3 linked regions of the Nothobranchius furzeri genome follow. The protein of the gene in region 3 purifies or fractionates together with the protein of the main gene of each other region. This does not show direct contact. Links are inferred from orthologs where the notes say so. Each region holds a gene or a part of one and is shown on either strand. Other genes may lie near its edges.

Evidence for each region.
Region 1: the proteins of AP-2 complex subunit mu-A (region 3) and numb purify together in Homo sapiens (affinity purification with mass spectrometry; 3 studies listed by BioGRID and IntAct, counting the BioPlex papers as one, with this or other methods). This does not show direct contact. The link is inferred for Nothobranchius furzeri from reciprocal best matches to the Homo sapiens genes AP2M1 and NUMB.
Region 2: the proteins of AP-2 complex subunit mu-A (region 3) and necap2 purify together in Homo sapiens (affinity purification with mass spectrometry; 4 studies listed by BioGRID and IntAct, counting the BioPlex papers as one, with this or other methods). This does not show direct contact. The link is inferred for Nothobranchius furzeri from reciprocal best matches to the Homo sapiens genes AP2M1 and NECAP2.

Annotation. Positions count from the first base shown.
Region 1 is NC_091758.1:16,880,670-16,886,751, reverse strand, and holds part of numb (protein numb homolog), read left to right. Parts: intron 1-1,133; exon of another isoform or gene 1,134-1,511; coding exon of another isoform or gene 1,512-1,598; intron 1,599-2,757; coding exon 2,758-2,790; intron 2,791-3,398; coding exon 3,399-3,473; intron 3,474-4,113; coding exon 4,114-4,254; intron 4,255-4,395; coding exon 4,396-4,600; intron 4,601-5,532; coding exon 5,533-5,829; intron 5,830-6,082. UniProt on the Homo sapiens protein: Regulates clathrin-mediated receptor endocytosis. Plays a role in the process of neurogenesis.
Region 2 is NC_091743.1:46,249,507-46,255,688, reverse strand, and holds the start of necap2 (adaptin ear-binding coat-associated protein 2), read right to left. Parts: upstream 3,176-6,182; 5' UTR 3,082-3,175; coding exon 2,987-3,081; intron 2,230-2,986; coding exon 2,129-2,229; intron 1-2,128. UniProt on the Homo sapiens protein: Involved in endocytosis.
Region 3 is NC_091751.1:56,901,463-56,907,016, forward strand, and holds the end of AP-2 complex subunit mu-A, read left to right. Parts: intron 1-1; coding exon 2-84; intron 85-505; coding exon 506-641; intron 642-952; coding exon 953-1,097; intron 1,098-1,621; coding exon 1,622-1,741; intron 1,742-1,926; coding exon 1,927-2,062; intron 2,063-2,147; coding exon 2,148-2,245; intron 2,246-2,358; coding exon 2,359-2,470; intron 2,471-2,831; coding exon 2,832-2,966; 3' UTR 2,967-3,827; downstream 3,828-5,554. Other genes in the region: pcyt1aa (choline-phosphate cytidylyltransferase A), read right to left, coding at 5,391-5,554.

The sequences.
Region 1 (6,082 bases), on a different chromosome or scaffold from region 3:
TGCACTTAGTTACATTTTGATGGAAGGAGGACGTGTCGTTCTGCATTTCTGTCATCTTCCCAAAGGCATAACAATGGAAGGATGTCCTCCTTCTCACTTTATATAATAATTAGAATTATGAGTGTTCTGGTTACTAGAGATGCTCAGAAAAACCAGCCGGGAATCAGAAGCTGTCAATGGTGTAAATAGGTGTTTGGCTGATCTGAAACTCAAAAATCACGTGGTAGTTTTTACCTCCAGAATCAAAATTTTGACATTTATCTGTTTTTTTAATGTTTTCTGTAATTTTATTTCTTTGAGATATCACCCAAAATCTATATCCATGGGTCAGAGCTGTACGAAATAACCAGCTGTTATTACCGGTGAGTCACTTTAGTCATGACCCTTCATCGGGTTGTTTTAGTGGTCAGAAGGCTACGGGCTGGAACCAGAATTAGCTAGTGGGTTGGTATCTTGTCCTGAATTCTTCCTGAAAACAAAAGAAAGTCACAATAAAAGAGCTTTAGACTTAGAAAAGGTTTGTGTGTGTGTGTGTGACAGATTATTTGAATCTTACCCTCGAGTCCGTTATGATCTCTGTAACTGGCAGCAGACTCCCGATGCCAGAGATCATTGTTCAAGTCAGATTGTCAGAGCTAACCAGAAAAATCCTTTAAGCTAATACACAATTAGCAAGGCTATGATGGACTTCATCTTCCCCGATTCTTTAATAAGATGACTGTTGCCAGGCAACAAATGCAGGCCCCACCACTGGAGAACATAACTGTTCTCATAGCACAGTGAGTAAACTCTATTTTCAGGAGCTAATAACTAAATTGTGCTGGGATCTGGTCGTGAGCTTGCAGGCTCCAGATGTCTGGAATGGACTGATGATTGTTTTCTTCTAGTGAGATTAGAGCAGGTTAGCAACCAGGGTGGCTGCTGCATCAGTCAGACCGTAGCTGAGATGATGAGGGTCCTCTGGAATAGTCAGAGAGAGAAGTCTGTAGCTGCTGCACTGGAAAGAGTGTGTGTGTGTGTGTGTGTGTGTGTGTGTGTGTGTGTGTGTGTGTGTGTGTGTGTGTGTGTGTGTGTGTGTGTGTGTGTGTGTGTGTGTGTGTGTGTGTGTGTGTGTGTGTGTGTGTGTGTGTGTGTGTGTGTGTGTGTGTGTGTGTGTGTGTGTGTGTGTGTGTGTGTGTGTGTGTGTGCGTGCGTGCGTGCGTGCGTGCGTGCGTGCGTGCGTGCGTGCGTGCGTGCGTGCGTGCGTGCGTGCGTGCGTGCGTGCGTGCGTGCGCGAGAGGACAGCTGTAGCGTCGAGCCAATTGCATCTGTACTCCCAGCAGCCTTTGGGACAGTAATGAGAGTTTTCTCGCTGCTCTGCGACCCATGACTCAGAAGGGAGGATGGAGGCGGGTGGAGAAGGAGGCTGCACTGCGGCACCATCAACCTCCAAGCTGCTGTTTTGTGCTGTCATCATGATGTGACTTCCTCTTGTTGGTGGGCGCGAGTATGGGTCTCAGTGGTATTGTGACATGTGTTGTTTCCTGGGTGAGTCAGGTGGACCACCACACCTGGAGATGATGAAGGGCGTTTGCCTCATACATCAGAGCCTGCTGAAGGTAATCGGTGTTCTGTCTGGAGTTTACGGGTGATTTGGTCAGCCGTGGATAGTTTCACAAACTGTACAGAGAAGTTACACAAAGTGTTCTAGTTACAAATCCTGTGGTGTTGTAAAACGAAGCTGCCTCTCACTCGCAGCGATGCGGATGTTTGTCTGTTCAAGTGCTCAGAAACAAACGCAGGTTCATTTAGGTCCTTGTCCTTCTCCCTCATCTAAACGTCGTCTTCATTCCATCTTCAGTTGAACACGTGTCTCATCCCATTCACACATTTAATACTTGAATAATGTTTAATCTTTTGTTGGTGTTACACTTTTTGTCTTTTTTTAAGCAGGTTTAATAGCAGAGAAATGCTTCCAAATACCCCCCCCCCCATTCAGTTATCTCGCTGTCGAGCTACGTCCCCTAACTGTAGCTTACTAACACTGTGCACGCCTTTCCATTACTGCATGTCTCTGTGGTTTACACACACACACACACACACACACACACACACACACACACACACACACACACACACACACACAAGTGTTTAGCTCACCCTGAATGAATCTGCAGTTCTGGCTAACATACTAAATCATGCATAACTCGGTGCGCTGGGTGCCATCTCCACTGTGGCTGTGGGGGGGTGCTGGGTTCGTTCTGCTTCTGCTTTTGGTTTAAAGAAGTTGCAGCTGCCCAAACATGACCCCAGACTCCAGGTGATCTGTGAACGCTCACAAGATTGATCCTCTGCGATCGTTTGTTTCTGTCTATTGAGCCAGCCGTGGAAGGATCATATCCTGCTCTAGAAACCAGAGGTGTGTTTTCACGTCTCCTCTGTCCAGGCTGCTCAGTGTCCACTCTTAATCTGGGGAAATTCCATCTTTGATCATTCAGATCCAACAGAACCAAAGTTCTACAGTTGGAGGGGGTTCTGCTGGGAAGGGTTTATTTTCTTCATTTATGGTTCTACTAACATGTTTACCATGACCAAAATCTCACTCATCGGAACCTCAAGAAATCACAAAGCTAACTGCTCACTCATAACCCAGCTTCACCAAACCCTTTCCCATCAGAACGGGCTCCAGTCCATTCCTAGGTAACATTCTCATACCCCTTGTCCCCTCATCTCCTCCATCTCTCTCACCCACCCCCCTTTTACCACATCCACTTTCAGGACAGGAAATTCTTCAAAGGATTCTTTACTAAAGTAAGTTTTTGGTTCTGTGTGTCTTAGTGTTTCTCTTAGCATTTTAATTATTGTTTCCTTCTCACACCTCACACTTTGATCACATGTGGCTGCTGGAGGAAGCACATGGACACAGACAGGGGAAATGTGTCTGAAGTGAGACCGACACCCTAGTGCATGTGTCTGGGGGGGGGGGGGGGGGCAAGCCAGGGTGGGGCACAGTGTGTGTTTGGGTCTGGATTTTCGGGCGTGCCTTCTCTCCCTTCAGCCCTGCTGCCATGAACCAAGAATGGAACATTGTGTGAATGAATATTTCCTTTTGATTGTTGGGTTTTGTTTTGTTCTAACCAATGGGATCATCACTTCCTGTTTGCGTCAGAGCACCAATTCTCACACCAACCTTCTTCACTTTGTCAGAATGTGTCTCCTTTTGTGTGACAGCTCTCAGAAAACAGCTCGTTTTAGTCACTCTCTCTCATTTACAGGTGTGTGTGTGTGTGCGTGCGTGCGTGCGTGCGTGTGTGTGACGAGCTTTTTATGAATAGGTACGATGGAACTGGGAAGTAATGAAGTAGGGTAGAGGAAAATAAGAGGTTGTGTTTAAGCTGCTGCTGTGTGTGCGTTTGCAGGCTGGGAAGAAGGCCGTGCGAGCTGTGTTGTGGGTGTCGGCAGACGGGCTTCGCGTTGTCGATGATAAAACGAAGGTAAAACATCTCGTCACTCGTCTTTAACAAGCTGATAAATATTCAGAAACACAAACTAAAATCATTAGTTCTTCAGCTCCAGATGTTAATGATTGAAAAGCTGCTCTAGTTCAGGTCTAATGACCTCCACTAGTCCTGATAGCAAGCCACACACAGTTCACCTGCAGAGCTGTTCATGGACGAACACTGACACCTGCTGGAAAACCCTGATAATGTTTCAGTTTGGTGGGCGTTAGCTGAGAGGGTCTCAAGTACACATTTAGATATTACTGACTTTAATTTTCTGGCTCATTAGTTTAATGTTTAGACAAATAGAAGATCTGTAAGGTAATGTATCTGATGGAGTGTAACTGTAATATCAGCTTACTGAGGTGTGTAAGAAATCTACTCGTTTTCTAAAGAGCAAAACTTCAGATGAAATAACTTTTAGAAATCAATTTTATCATAAGAATTTTGATACAGGTCCCCTCTGCACTGGGACTACGTAAGCTTTTACTTTCAGAAGGTCGCAATCGTGAGTTTCATCTTGAACAGTGACGCCATGAGATCCATCTTTGCAGATGAGTCGGTTATACGGCTCACACTCAAGCCTCTTGAGTTTGTAATGTGATGCATAAATGAGGGGAACTCCTCTTTGCAGGACCTTATTTTGGATCAGACGATAGAAAAGGTGTCGTTCTGCGCCCCGGACAGGAACTTTGAGAGAGCCTTCTCTTACATCTGCAGGGACGGCACCACGCGGCGCTGGATCTGCCACTGCTTCATGGCCATTAAAGACTCGGTAAGAACTCACCTTGGATGTTGGACTTTCTTTAGATTCTATGTTTATTCAATGAGCTCTCACACGGGAAAACGTTCCCTTGTTTGAATCTGCAACATTGTGGTCGCGATACTGCCGTCTGAAAGGCTTGTGTCGTTTCAGGGCGAGAGGCTCAGCCACGCTGTGGGTTGTGCATTCGCCGCGTGTCTGGAGCGGAAACAGAAACGGGAGAAGGAATGTGGTGTCACAGCAACCTTTGATGCAAACCGAACCACTTTCACTCGGGAGGGCTCATTTCGCATTACTACGGCAACAGAGGCTGCTGAACGAGAAGAAGTCATGAGACAGTTGCAGGATGCTAAAAAGGGTCAGTATTAAAAAAGCCGACGTTTGAACTTCTGGACTGATTAAGTGACATCAGTGTGTGGCTGATTGTATAAACTTCTGCCTGGACATCATCATCCACACTAGAACCGTGAGGGTCTTCCCCAACAACAAACCCTGGATCACCTCTGACCTGAAGGAACTGCTGAACAAGAACAAGAGAGTTATTGAAGTTTACCAAAGCAGGATACAGGAAACATCTGTGGTCAAGATGAAGAACATTACTGGCTTCAAGCAGAAGGAAAGTCGCACTGATGGAAGTCTGAACAAAGCCAACAAACAGAACATGTTCTTTATTAGATTCAGTTCAGCATCTTCCTCTCCTGCCCCCAGACAACAGGACAGAGAAGACTGGATCCTTCAGTGTGTGCTGCCAGATGTTCCAGATCTTCTAAAGGTCTGTTGTGGAGAGTGTCATCTGTTCTGCTGTCATATACTGGGACAGCTGCGTCAGAACCTGTGGTTACAAAAAGCTGAACAAGCTGATTAAAACATTCGGTTCTGGGAACAAATCAGGAGCCCCTAGAGGTGGATGGACAAAGGAGGATGCTTCAGAACACGATGGACAACCCTGATCGTCCTCTCCTCAAGACAGTAATTCAGCAACTGGGTGTCTTCAGTCTGAGGCTTCTTCATATCTGCTGCAACTAAGAAGACCCTTCCTGCCTACAGCTAGAACAGAGACACTGAGAAACCCTACCCATGTGTTACTACAACGTTTTAATAAATTAGTTTTGAATTGGGAGAAAAGGGCCGGATGACATTTCTATACTGGTCACTCCTGGTGTGTTTCATTTAGATAATCGCTCCCTTCAAACATCTCATTTTGCTGATTTTGTACAAAAATGGACTCAAAGCTTTTAAAGAGACATCCATCCATTTCTTAGGCTCATTCTCGCTCTTCTGTCTTTACAGCAGAAACAGACATGATGGCCGCAAACCTGGTCAACAGTGTGACAAACGCCACTGGTCACCAGCCAGGAAGCTGCCCATCTCCCTCGTCCTCCCCGCCTCTCTCAGTGACCGCTCTCGGACCTCAGGTGATACCCCGTAGACACGCACCGGTCGAGGCTCTCGCCCGGCAGGGCTCCTTCAGAGGCTTCCCTGCCCTCAGCCAGAAAACGTCGCCTTTTAAAAGACAGCTGTCACTGCGGATGAACGAGCTGCCCTCCACCATGCAGCGCAAGTCTGATTTCCCCATGAAAAATACAGGTTAGTAAAGACTAAAGTCATGACTGTGGGAAGAAATAACTTCTCACTGGTTTAGTTTGAGCTTTGGCCTTACGACATGTGAGCAGTCTGGCAGCATTAGCACTCAGACGCCATGCTGGTTGTTTTTTGTCCTGGGAACGATTCAGACCTGAACTGAACAAACCAGTCAGTTGATGACTCATCCTATTTTAAAGGTGTGAAGCACTCATTAGATCAACACATTTGCAGTGGTCTCTAGTAGGAATGAAGCACA
Region 2 (6,182 bases), on a different chromosome or scaffold from region 3:
CTCCGGCGTTCGTGTCGGAGCGGAGCGGAGCGGAGGTAGTGGAATTTGGGGGTTAGGGTTGTCACGGTGTGAAAATTTAACCTCGCGGTTATTGTGACCAAAATGACCACGGTTTTCGGTATTATCGCGGTATTTTTTTTAAACATGCTACATTTTCACACAATTAAATAAACCCTGTATGTCAGGAAAATATTGTCCTCAGTTTGTGTGTAAATTTTGCCTAAAATGTGTTATTTTGTAATTAAGTTGTTTATTTGTTTACATTTTCCCCCTTTAGTCTTTAAAATAGCAATATTTGCCCATAACTTCTTATTTTATGTCTGTTTGATGTCATCATTTTAAAAATATTAGATCAGATGATACTCAGTACTCAAGTAGCCTTCTAATCAGATACTTTTTTACCCTTACTTGAGTAATCCGTATATCAGGAAAATATTGTCCTCGGTTTGTGTCCTTCCAGTCAGCTTTGCAGATGTGGGAAAATGTCATCAGGCAGTAATCATTGTTAAATTCATAATTATTCTCGGAGAGAGACCAACTCTTATCTGCCCCTGGGAGCCCCGTAATGCATAGAGTCATTTCAACATGGGGGTGTCCGCAACACGGTTTATATGCAGGTGGCGGCGCTGCGGCTGCTTTATATAGCGACTCGTTGCCTTCTCCCTCAACCCAATTCCTCGGATCACGCATTTTAGCTAAAACGCTAACGTTAACTTGCCTTGCGTTGACTGTAGAGTTGTGGGTGATGGTCACGCAGATGTGTCATGAGATTTGAAGCGTTGCTGCCTTTCACAGACACTTTTTCTGCTCGTGCTGCAAACAGGATAGCCGTCCGTCTTCCATAAACTCCCTCGGCATTCTTCAAATATCTAAAAGATGCCTGTACTTCCGACTTTGTCTTCTTTGAGGGATAATAAATGTCCTCCTGAGCGCTGCCGTCTCCTCCTTTGACCATTATTTCAGCTTTAGCTTCAAGAAAGTTTTGTTGTAAACAAAGCGTGCATGTGCCGCCGGCAACTTCAGCCGATGATACGGTGGCTGGTAAGGGTCACCGCGCCTACACCGCAGCCACGGTAAACCCACCAAGATAATATATTTTTTTAAAAACAAGACGGTTATTATTGTCAACTTTTTTTCTTTTTTTCTTTTACCGGGGTTTAGCGCTACACTGGTTACCGTGACAACCCTACCTGATCGGTTTGCTCTGATCTATTTTAAAAATTCCGATCAAAACCGATAGGGGCGCTATCGGCCGATTACGATCAAATGCCGATCCATCGGTGCATCCCTACCCCCATGTTGAAATGACGCTATGCATTATGGGGCTCCCAGGGGCAGATAAGAGTTGGTCTCTCTCCGAGAATAATTATGAATTTAACAATGATTACTGCCTGCAAAGCTCACAGGAAGGACACAAACCGAGGACGATATTTTCCTGATATAGGCTTTATTACTCAATTAAGGGTAAAAAAAAGTATCTGATTAGAAGGCTACTTGAGTACTGAGTATCATCTGATCTAATATTTTTAAAATGATGACATCAAACAGACATAAAATAAGAAGTTATGGGCAAATATTGGTATTTTAAAGACTAAAGGGAAAAATGTAAACAAATAAACAACATAATTAGAAAATAACACATTTTAGGCAAATTTAGACACAAACTGATGACAATATTTCCTGACATACAGGGTTTATTTAATTGTGTGAAAATGTAGCACGGTTAAAAAAAATACCGCGATAATACCGAAAACCGTGGTAATTTTGGTCACAATGACCGTGAGGTTAAATTTTCACACCGTGACAACTTTAATACAGACCATTTTAGATTAGGTTACATTTCTTTTATTCCCAGATTATGTAGTTTGTAGCACTCATTATAATGTTGTAGAAAATTTCTGGCCAATCCACGTGATCGGTATCGGTGATCAGCATTCTTTGATATCGGTATCGGCAGCAAAAAACCTGATCGGTGCATCCCTAAACAAAGAATGATCATAACTGCTGTCCTTTGACCCATGATCACTGAGAAGAGTTTCAGGCTGTGTTGAAACCAGTTCATACAAAAAAGGACTTGTTTCACAGCACAACTAAGGTATTTGGCTGTGAGGCTCATGATAAGGTTTACCTGTGTTTTTGTCCTCCAGCTTGATGAAAGCCATCTTTCCTTTGGCTGTGATTTTCATCCTACCGCTCCACGCAGGTTCATCCAGTTTCCAGTCAGCAGCTCTAGATGAAAGAAGCAGGAAAAACCCACCGGATTAGAGAACCATTCATGTAAATCCTCATTTAAAGGAGCTCCTGTCTCTGCGTTTGTTTTAGCAGCTTTACTTGTCCAACATAATGAGGAAGTGAAATTAAAATCTGCCTAAAAGATCGAAAAAAGACAAACAGGGAAACTCCCAGTTGCTTGTTTTTAAAGATAATAAAAGTTGTATAAGTACCATCTGACCAATATAGATTATTGGGGTTAGTTTAGAATGTGAATACAAAACAAAACCTGAAATCACACACACACACACACACACACACACACACACACACACACACACACACACACTTTTGTGTTTTAAAATGTAAACAATGATCAAAATCAATCCACCGAAGTTTACCATTTTACACACAGAGTGAAAACTGAAAGGGAATTTGATTTATTTGGATTTTCTCATAACCAGTTTCAGAGTGAATGATGTAAAACAATCCGTTAAAACAAGAACATGTTTCTTCTTAACTCAAATAAAACATTTGTAAACAAAAAACACTGATGGTGGTGTTTCTAGCTATTAGCTCGCTGCTGCCAGTTGATATTGTTAAACTTTCCCAATATACGAACCTTTAGTGAGAACTAAGAAAAAGAGTCCGTAGCTGTCGAGTGTCTTCAGACCAGTTTGGTTGACAGCTTGTTAGTCCGATAATGGAAACATGACAGTTAAACTAGCCTGCTGACAAACACTTTTTCCGACTCGCCAGAAAGAAGCTTTCTTACCGATATCCGCGGTTGGAGGCCCGCGGCGGGATCCGGTAAACATGAACCTCTGGCTTCACACACAGCATCGACTCATAACTGTTGTCCTCTGCCATTTTGTCAAGTTTCACAAACCAAAAAACAACTTCCGACTTTCAATGGACGCCCGTGCTGAAGCTGCTTGGTGGTTGACGCCGCGCCGCCAGCTTCAAACAGCGCCACCCGGTGTCCGGAGGTTGTAGACGTAACTGTCAATCTGCTGTAAACACGAGTTTGTCCTGGGATTAATATTCAAATTATAGACGAAATAACAACTAAACAGTATTAATATGATTCATGTTCGATATTACTTTATACGTGAAACTAACATGAAGTCCAGATGACATTTTATTTTAAAACTGGCTTAATGTTGGTTCAGCTTAAATAATAATTGCCAGATCTTTTATAAAAAACAAACAAACAAACAAAAAACTACAAGTATCATGTTTAAATGAGTTTATTAAAGGGTATTCAGTTTTCTGTAGGGTTTTTCAAGTTTCAAAACAATTGCATCACATGAGCATCAAACAGGACACCTGGCTGTGAAAGAAAAGCATTGTGATCTGATCACACCGATAGCATGTTGGGTATCTGCTTATTGATACAAGGTCATAACGTATCCCTTAAGTTTCAACACCTGAAAGAGACTGTGTATATTAATAAAAAACTTCTCTAAAGTCAATTATCCAAACCAGATGCTCCCAAATCAGTTTGTTCCAAGATTCCTCCTACAGTAGATCCCAACACATGCCATTAATAAAAGTTTAGCTTTCAAAACATCAAAGGAATTTTACTTCCCTTCAGTCTGCAACTGGTTTTAAAGAAACATAGAAGGAATTGAATTGAGTAAAAACTCTGCTCTTTGTAAGCATTAAGTACCGTATTTTCCAGACTATAAGCCGCTACCTTTTTTCCCACGCTTTGAACCATGCGGTTTATAATGAGGTGCGGCTTTACTGAAGATTTTCCTTCACCTGCCAGGGGGCGCTTTCGCAGAAAGTGAAACAGGTGGAAGTCAAAAGTGGAAATCGAAGAAAGTGCTCATTTTAAATTAGCACATGCAAGCAGCCGGCACGACGAAGAATCTTTTTCAAATCCATACCCCCTCATCATGGTAACTACACGTATGAGTTCATATGATGCCGCATTTAAGTTGAAGGCCATCGATCTGGCAGTAAAGGAGGGAAACAGCGCTGCCGCACGTAAGCTTGGCATGAATGAATCCATGGCTCGGCGCTGGAGACGGCAGCGGGAAGAACTCATTCAAGCCGGCTTCACCCGGGGATGATGACAGCAACACGGACAGAGACACTGACATCGCCACAGAAAAGGTCTGTGACGAAGCTCTTCTGAGGCTGTTCATCTCCGACACTGAAGAAGAGGACTTTAATGGCTTTAGTGCGCAAGAGGAAGATGAGAGCTAATGACTTTTTCTGGTAGGCAAGTGTGTTTTATTTACTAACAGGCATGTTTTGTGTGCAGTTTTTATTTTCTAATCATCCAGGGCTTATTAATGCTGTGTCAGCGCTGTTCTTTCCTTCTGAACATGCAAATTACCGGTAATAACGTGTCAGTGCTGTTTTTATCTTATAACCATCCAGAAATATGAATGCTATCAGTGCTGTTTTCATTTCTAAACTTGCAGGCACATTCACCCGTGTTTAAAATGTGTTTTGTTGAATTAAAACAACAACGAAAAAACTCCGTGTGGCGTCTTTCTGTCTAATTATCTTATGTAATGGCCGTACATGCGCTATGCGCCGGAGACCTGCATGTGGCTGCTGCGCCGCGGCTTGTATTTGAGTGCGGCGTGTGTGTGTGTAGAAAAGCTTTTTTTTTTTTTTTTTTTGTTGGTGCGGCTTATATTGAAGTGCACTCTATAGTCCGGAAATTACGGTAGTTCCTCCAGAAGCCCATCAGAAGCTTCACAGATCAACCATAGAAACAAGGTTTTTGTTTGTTAGCAAGCAGGGTTCATTTATCATTTAAGGCATAAATGTCTAAGAATTCAAAAAGACTTGACTTATTTTTACACTTTATAAGCTCTTCTTCTGATTCTGTGGAAAACGAGCAAACATTTAGTAAAATTCTGCCGTGGGTAAAACACCACAGGAAGACATTCAGACCCAGGAAGAGAGGTTCAGGCTGTATTTCAAAGGTCACTGTTTAAAAAGCAGGTTTTGACCAGTTTTTGCCATTTCTTCCTCAACACTGGCAAAATATTTGCTAAAACGTAGCATCAGATGCGTTTTCCCCACAGCGGGCTTGACGTAACCCTGTCTGTGTGAGTTATAAGCATGATATAAGACTATTATTAATGTGCTGCTGCGTAAACACGAATCTGACTCGAGACGAGATCAAACTCTGATTTTAAACCGATATGAAAACCACAAGTTTTGATTCTTAGTTACCGACTTTCGTCAAGTGTATGAAAATAAATTAAGCACTACAAACAAAGTCTCCCTACTTTTCTGAACTTTACTATCCTCCTGATTTACATCAACGGTCACCAGGCAAAAAGAAAAACACACAAATGGACAACGTTAACAGCTTAAAACAAGACAAAGAAAAAAGAAATCCAGGAAGTCATTTCATTGTTATTGCTTGTAAAAACTTTTAGTGATCCTGCCACTGGGATCAAAGCTTTGGGCCAGAGGCTGCGTACCAGCCGGGCTACCGGTGCTGAGTGTGGGCCTGAGGGCCGAGCAGCGTTCTGCTGAGACACAGCCTTCATTTGCACATTGATTCAGCGCTGTGCACGTTTGCAGAAAAGGTCCGATCGACATGACTTGCCATCACTTCACACTCAGTCTGCTAAACATGAAGTCAGTTCTTGGCACTGTAATAACTTTTTCTGAGCACAAACTATGGCCACCTTCCTCTTGGACACCGAGCTGTGACCTTTGCTCCTTTAGTGGGATGAAAGGCTCTTCTTCTTGCACATCTGGGAGGATTTCCCACAGATTAACAAGTTCTCTCTCTTCTCCCTGAAGAGACAGACACCTGGTGGGGGGGGGGGGGGGGGGGGTGCAGCTGACCAGACTCAGAGCACATCACGGTACATCGCAGTTTCACAGTGTGTGTGTGGAGGGGTGCAACCCAAGCCTGGTTATGCTGGCGGCAGGAGAGGTTTCAAATCTTAGATCTCTGCCAGCCTCTCAAAAGAAGGCAAAGACTA
Region 3 (5,554 bases):
GAGATCCTGGACTTTGGCTACCCCCAGAACTCAGAGACCGGAGCCCTGAAGACCTTCATCACCCAGCAAGGCATTAAGGGACAAGTAAGTACAGTGTTTGCCCCCGACTGATGTAGAGCTTTCAGTTTGATGTTTTTGTAGAAGATAACCTAGAAAAGTGGTGTTCAGATGAACTAAATTCACTCTAACCTGAAGCGATGAATAGTTTAAAGACAATCTGGTGGTGGAAATGTTTATTTTTGTATCTGATTCTAGTAAACTTTACATGTGGTTAATTTGTATGAATATTAAATGTGTGTTTGTTTGTGTGTGTGTGTGTGTGTGTGTGTGTCATTGTTTCCCTCGTCTGCGGTTTTTGGACCATTCAGCACCAGGTAATGTTGAAAGTTTTGTAAAAAGTCGTGTTTTCATGTGTTTCCACTCTCTGTCATCCTCTGATCATCATCATCCTTGTGTGGAAGTTTTGCTCTTTGTTCCTGATCCAGTTTCTGCTCCTGTTTCTCAGACAAAAGAGGAGCAGTCTCAGATCACCAGCCAGGTGACGGGCCAGATCGGCTGGCGTCGTGAGGGCATCAAGTATCGCCGCAATGAGCTCTTCCTGGATGTACTGGAAAGTGTTAATCTGCTCATGTCACCTCAAGGTCTGTTTATGTCCTCTAAAGACGTCCCTGACTGCTAACATAAAAAGATCCGAGGAAATGTTGACATTCAGAGACGTCTAAATGACTTGCTATCAAGTTTTGCCATGAAGGTCGACTAAAACTAGTTGAAGACTTTTTGATCGTGTTTACTTCTGCAGCTTTAAACAGAGATGGTACTGTAGAATAATTTTAGTATTTCCACAGTTTTAGACCTGAATTAAAAAGTCCTATTGTGCAGAAACGCTGTCTAAATATGGTGGAACCTGTCCCAGCGGTGTCCAGATGTTGATCCTCTCACTCCTTCCATCCAGGCCAGGTCCTGAGCGCCCACGTGTCGGGCCGTGTTGTGATGAAGAGCTACCTGAGCGGAATGCCGGAGTGCAAATTCGGCATGAACGACAAGATCGTCATCGACAAGCAGGGCAAGGGAGGAGCGTCCGACGATGCAGGGAAAAGGTGAGTGATGCGTGAGTGAGGAGGCAGGCGCTTTGGTCAAACGTGCTTTCATAAGGAGGGACATAAATTATGACTTTGCTTTTCTTGTCTAAATAGTTCTGTCCTTGAGCTCCGACTAAGAAATTCTTTTGTCCTTTTGTTTGCTCTCCTTTTGGATGGCTCTCTGTCTTTTATCCTTTCTTTACTTTGTGCTGTACCACAGTGATTTAGGGGGAGGAAGGTACGATAGCAACAAGGTTCCTCTCCCTCCACCGCTTCATTCTCCTCCTGTGTTCTGCCCAGTAACTGTTTCATCATCCCTAACCGTCCTAGTTCACTCTTTACCCATCATCATTTACTGTAGTTTTGTAGTAATAATTTAATCCAGGTTCAAATGTTGTCTTCTAGCAGCCATGTCTTTGTACTTAAGTATACTGGTGGATATCCAGAGAGTAGATTTTATCTGTAGATTGGAAAAGGATAGTTAAAATCCAGACTAGTAACAAGTTAGTTGGTGTGTCTGATGCATCTTCTGTCCTCTTCAGTGGGAAGCAGTCCATAGCCATTGATGACTGCACTTTCCACCAGTGTGTGCGTCTCAGTAAGTTTGATTCTGAGCGCAGCATCAGCTTCATCCCTCCTGATGGAGAGTATGAGCTCATGAGGTCAGTAATGGTAGTAGATTATTAGAGCCTAAAGCATCCATGAATGTCTGCTCTGATAGATCCTGCTGGGTTTTTATTTATTTTTTTATTTTTCCACTCATTCAAAATTTTGGTGGATTGATAATTCCCCCCCCCCCCCCCATTTATTTTTATTAATTTACTTTTTAAATGTATGTATTTTTCAGATATCGCACCACTAAGGACATCATCCTGCCGTTCCGAGTTATTCCTCTGGTCAGGGAGGTGGGTCGCACCAAACTGGAGGTTAAAGTGGTCATCAAGTCCAACTTCAAACCTTCGCTGCTGGCTCAGAAAATTGAGGTCAGCAAACACATTTTTACATTTTTGATGAAATTCTTTAAGTTTTGACTTCACTGGTAAATATCTGGGCTAATTCTCTCCTCAGGTGCGAATTCCAACACCCCTCAACACTAGCGGTGTGCAGGTGATTTGCATGAAGGGAAAAGCCAAATACAAGGCCAGTGAGAACGCCATAGTCTGGAAGTGAGTTGGAGCTTAGATTAAATTTAATTAACAATCTGAACTCGATGTTTAACCTCTCAAGTATTCCTGTGTGGGAATGTTTCCTTTGTGAAGCTACAAGTTTGCATTTGCAGGATCAAGCGGATGGCTGGGATGAAGGAGTCTCAGATCAGTGCTGAGATTGAGCTGCTGCCTACCAACGATAAGAAGAAATGGGCCAGGCCTCCCATCTCTATGAACTTTGAGGTAAGCGCAGCACAGTCCAGTCTGTCCTCCTTTAAGCTGTCACAGCTTAAGAGCTTCCTAATTTCAGTCGGATTCAAAGTGAACTTTTCTCTTCCAGCTGATGTTTCTAAAACTATATTTATTCTGTGAACAGTCACAGACATAGATAATAATAAGTTAGATATTTCCCAGCTTCTCCTGGTGGCTGAGACTGTAATGTGGTGTTGGCAGCCAAACAAATGGACTCTGGGTTAAATCAGATCCCAGTATTTGCTAAGAAACTTAAAAGCCGTTTAGTGTTAAACAAACTCAGAGCTTCGGTGGTGGGTAAACAGAGCAGCCCGCCTGTCCTAACATGTTCCAACTTCCCTCTCCTCTCCAGGTTCCTTTCGCACCCTCTGGCCTGAAGGTGCGCTACTTGAAGGTGTTTGAGTCCAAGCTCAATTACAGTGACCACGACGTCATCAAATGGGTGCGGTACATCGGCCGCTCCGGCATCTACGAAACCCGCTGCTGAAGTTCAGCCCCGCCAGGCAGCAAACTGACCACTTCCCTCCCATCTTTCCTGTCATTTTATTCTTCTTTCCTCCTCCTCCGTCTTTGTTCCTCCCTCTGTCCTTATCACTTTTCTCCTTCCCCATCATCCCTTCTTAACTAGGTGTCGGAGATTGAATTTACATCGTTTAAAAGAAAAACAAGTAAATATGGTGTAATTCAGATATATGCAAAATGTGAACCATTGTATCGTATATATCTAGTAGTGATGAGTAAAAAATGTAAACCATCTGGTGTCCGAATGAAAAAGACAAGTGATGCCGGGTCTCAGGGGGAGAGGGCGGGAGCTTTGTGTATCCAGTGTTATCGTTCTTCTTTTCTCCGATATAGAAATCCCACGTCAGTTAACCCTGGGAAGGGGGTTCGTCACTATTGTGATTTAAAATAAGTCCTGATAGTTTCTATATATAAATATCCTGGTAGAGTTGACCTTTTCAATGAATCGGTATTTGATGCTACATGCTCGTCACTAGAAGGTAAATCATTCCCAGCCGACTGTCGTTCAGAAAGAAATGACGCTGAGCAAGTTGGTTTTGTACTTGGACGTTACTGATCCTTTACCTGTGTTCCTTTTCCCTCCGCTTTCAGAGTTATGCCAGGCAGGTTAGACCTTCATCCTGATTGGCTTATTCTGACTCATTCCCACAAACATTTTATAAGCACTAAGATTAACTTTCACACTATTTTTGGATTTAAAGATCAGTCTGCAGGGTTTGCAGTGAGGTGATGTCTCCCCCTGGTGTTTGCTTCGCCACTGTCTGCTTCATGTGTGTAGCCCTGGTGACCGTTCTGTCCAATAAAATCTATGTAACCAAACATCTTACCCCTCCTTTTCAGCTGTGTTTTTTATAATACTCTGGGGGGGGGGAGTACAGTCATTTTTCTCCATTACTGCTGTCAAAAGAAAATTGAAAGGGCAGAAAAAATTAGATTGGTTAATCAGACCAGAAAAACTGTTAAAAACTGTTAACTTTTTTTATTCTTGGGTCTACATCCAAAATATCAGACAAAAGTAACAATTAAAACTACTTGTGTACATTTCTTTGCCTTCTGCCATTCGAGTTAAGTGGACGTGATTCGTAGCTTAGCACCACAAGCTAGGCTGGATCTCTCCCCTGCAGTTTCTCTTCAACGCTCAAATCTGATTAGCAATGACAGCCAACATTTACACTAATCATTACAATGTCTCGTTTTTGCTTGGATGAAAGACATGCTTAGATCACTGAAGATGGGAAAATCCAGGATATTTGACTAGACAATTCTGTTACTATGATCCTCGTTTGTGCCCATGTTTAAGCTACAGGTGACGCCATCAAACAGCATTAGTTAGTGGAAGTACTGGTTAACCCTCAGATTGCCATCGAAGTGTGCTAGTCATGAGGAACTTTTAAAACCCTCTTTAGGAAGAACATTTGTGTATTTCCAAGATGAATATAAAAACAATACCTGCTGTTTTGATACAAGTTCCTCATAAGCTTAGATCTGAATTGCTCAAAGAAAAATGCAAGTCCAGCCTTGCTTTTGTCAACTCTGCTCAGAGTTCAAATGAGATCACAGGCAAGAAAACTACAAAAATAAGCATTTCTACATGATTTAAGTTATGTTCTCTCACGCCACTGAAAGGCGTCTACTCTGAAACTAGTCTTCCAAAGACTGATTCTTGTCTGCAGACAAGGGCTGAAAGCAAGTTTTTTTTACTATGTGGCATGAAATAAAAACACTCAATCCAGATGTGTCAGATAAAACATCTGGAACATGCGGACTAAAAGAACTTTAGCACATGCAGATCCACGGATACGAGCAGCTCCGACGTGGGCAGGCAGACACACAGGAACAAGCGCACACACACCTTCACTCAGATTACTCTTAGGCAATGAAACCTGGAGTTTTCCTGTTATTTTAGGAGAAAGGTGAGTCCATGTTAGTCTGAAAAATGAGCAGATCATTTGAAGAGTTCTGGATATATTTTTTTTAAACCTGATCCTCAAGATAACAGTGACTGAACTCAAATGACCTCAGATTAAAACTGAAATCAGTGAGCCCTAAAGCTAAGCTCACTGAAGGAAAACTCGTGCGCCATGATGTATAAATACAGCCAGGAATGGAACAGTGTAACGCCTGCAGAGGCTTCCAAAGCGACAGTGAGGGACCAACATAAAAAGTGAGACTCTCAGTGGTAACTTTAACTAATAGTTCTTTAGAAATGATAAGAGAAGTGGCTGTTAAATCAGGAGCCGAGGAGCACCCGGCTCTTCAAATAAACGAGACACAGAAGTGCTGAATGTAAAACCATAAAATAAAATGTTGCAGCCAGGAGCGCCATGCAACTTCGCCGCTTCTCGACTCGTAGTGCTGTGACAGAACGCTACAGGATTTAAAGCCCTGTTTAGTCGTCTTCGTCGTCGTCCTCACTGATGAGGTATCCCCGCGCCCCGCTGTGGTGAGGAGGAGAGGGAGGAGGGGAGGTCTTGGAGAAGAAGGGGAGTCTGAAGGTAGGAGATGGCGAGCGCTCCTCACGGGTGGGGCTGCTGTTGGGGCTTTGCCTGGGGC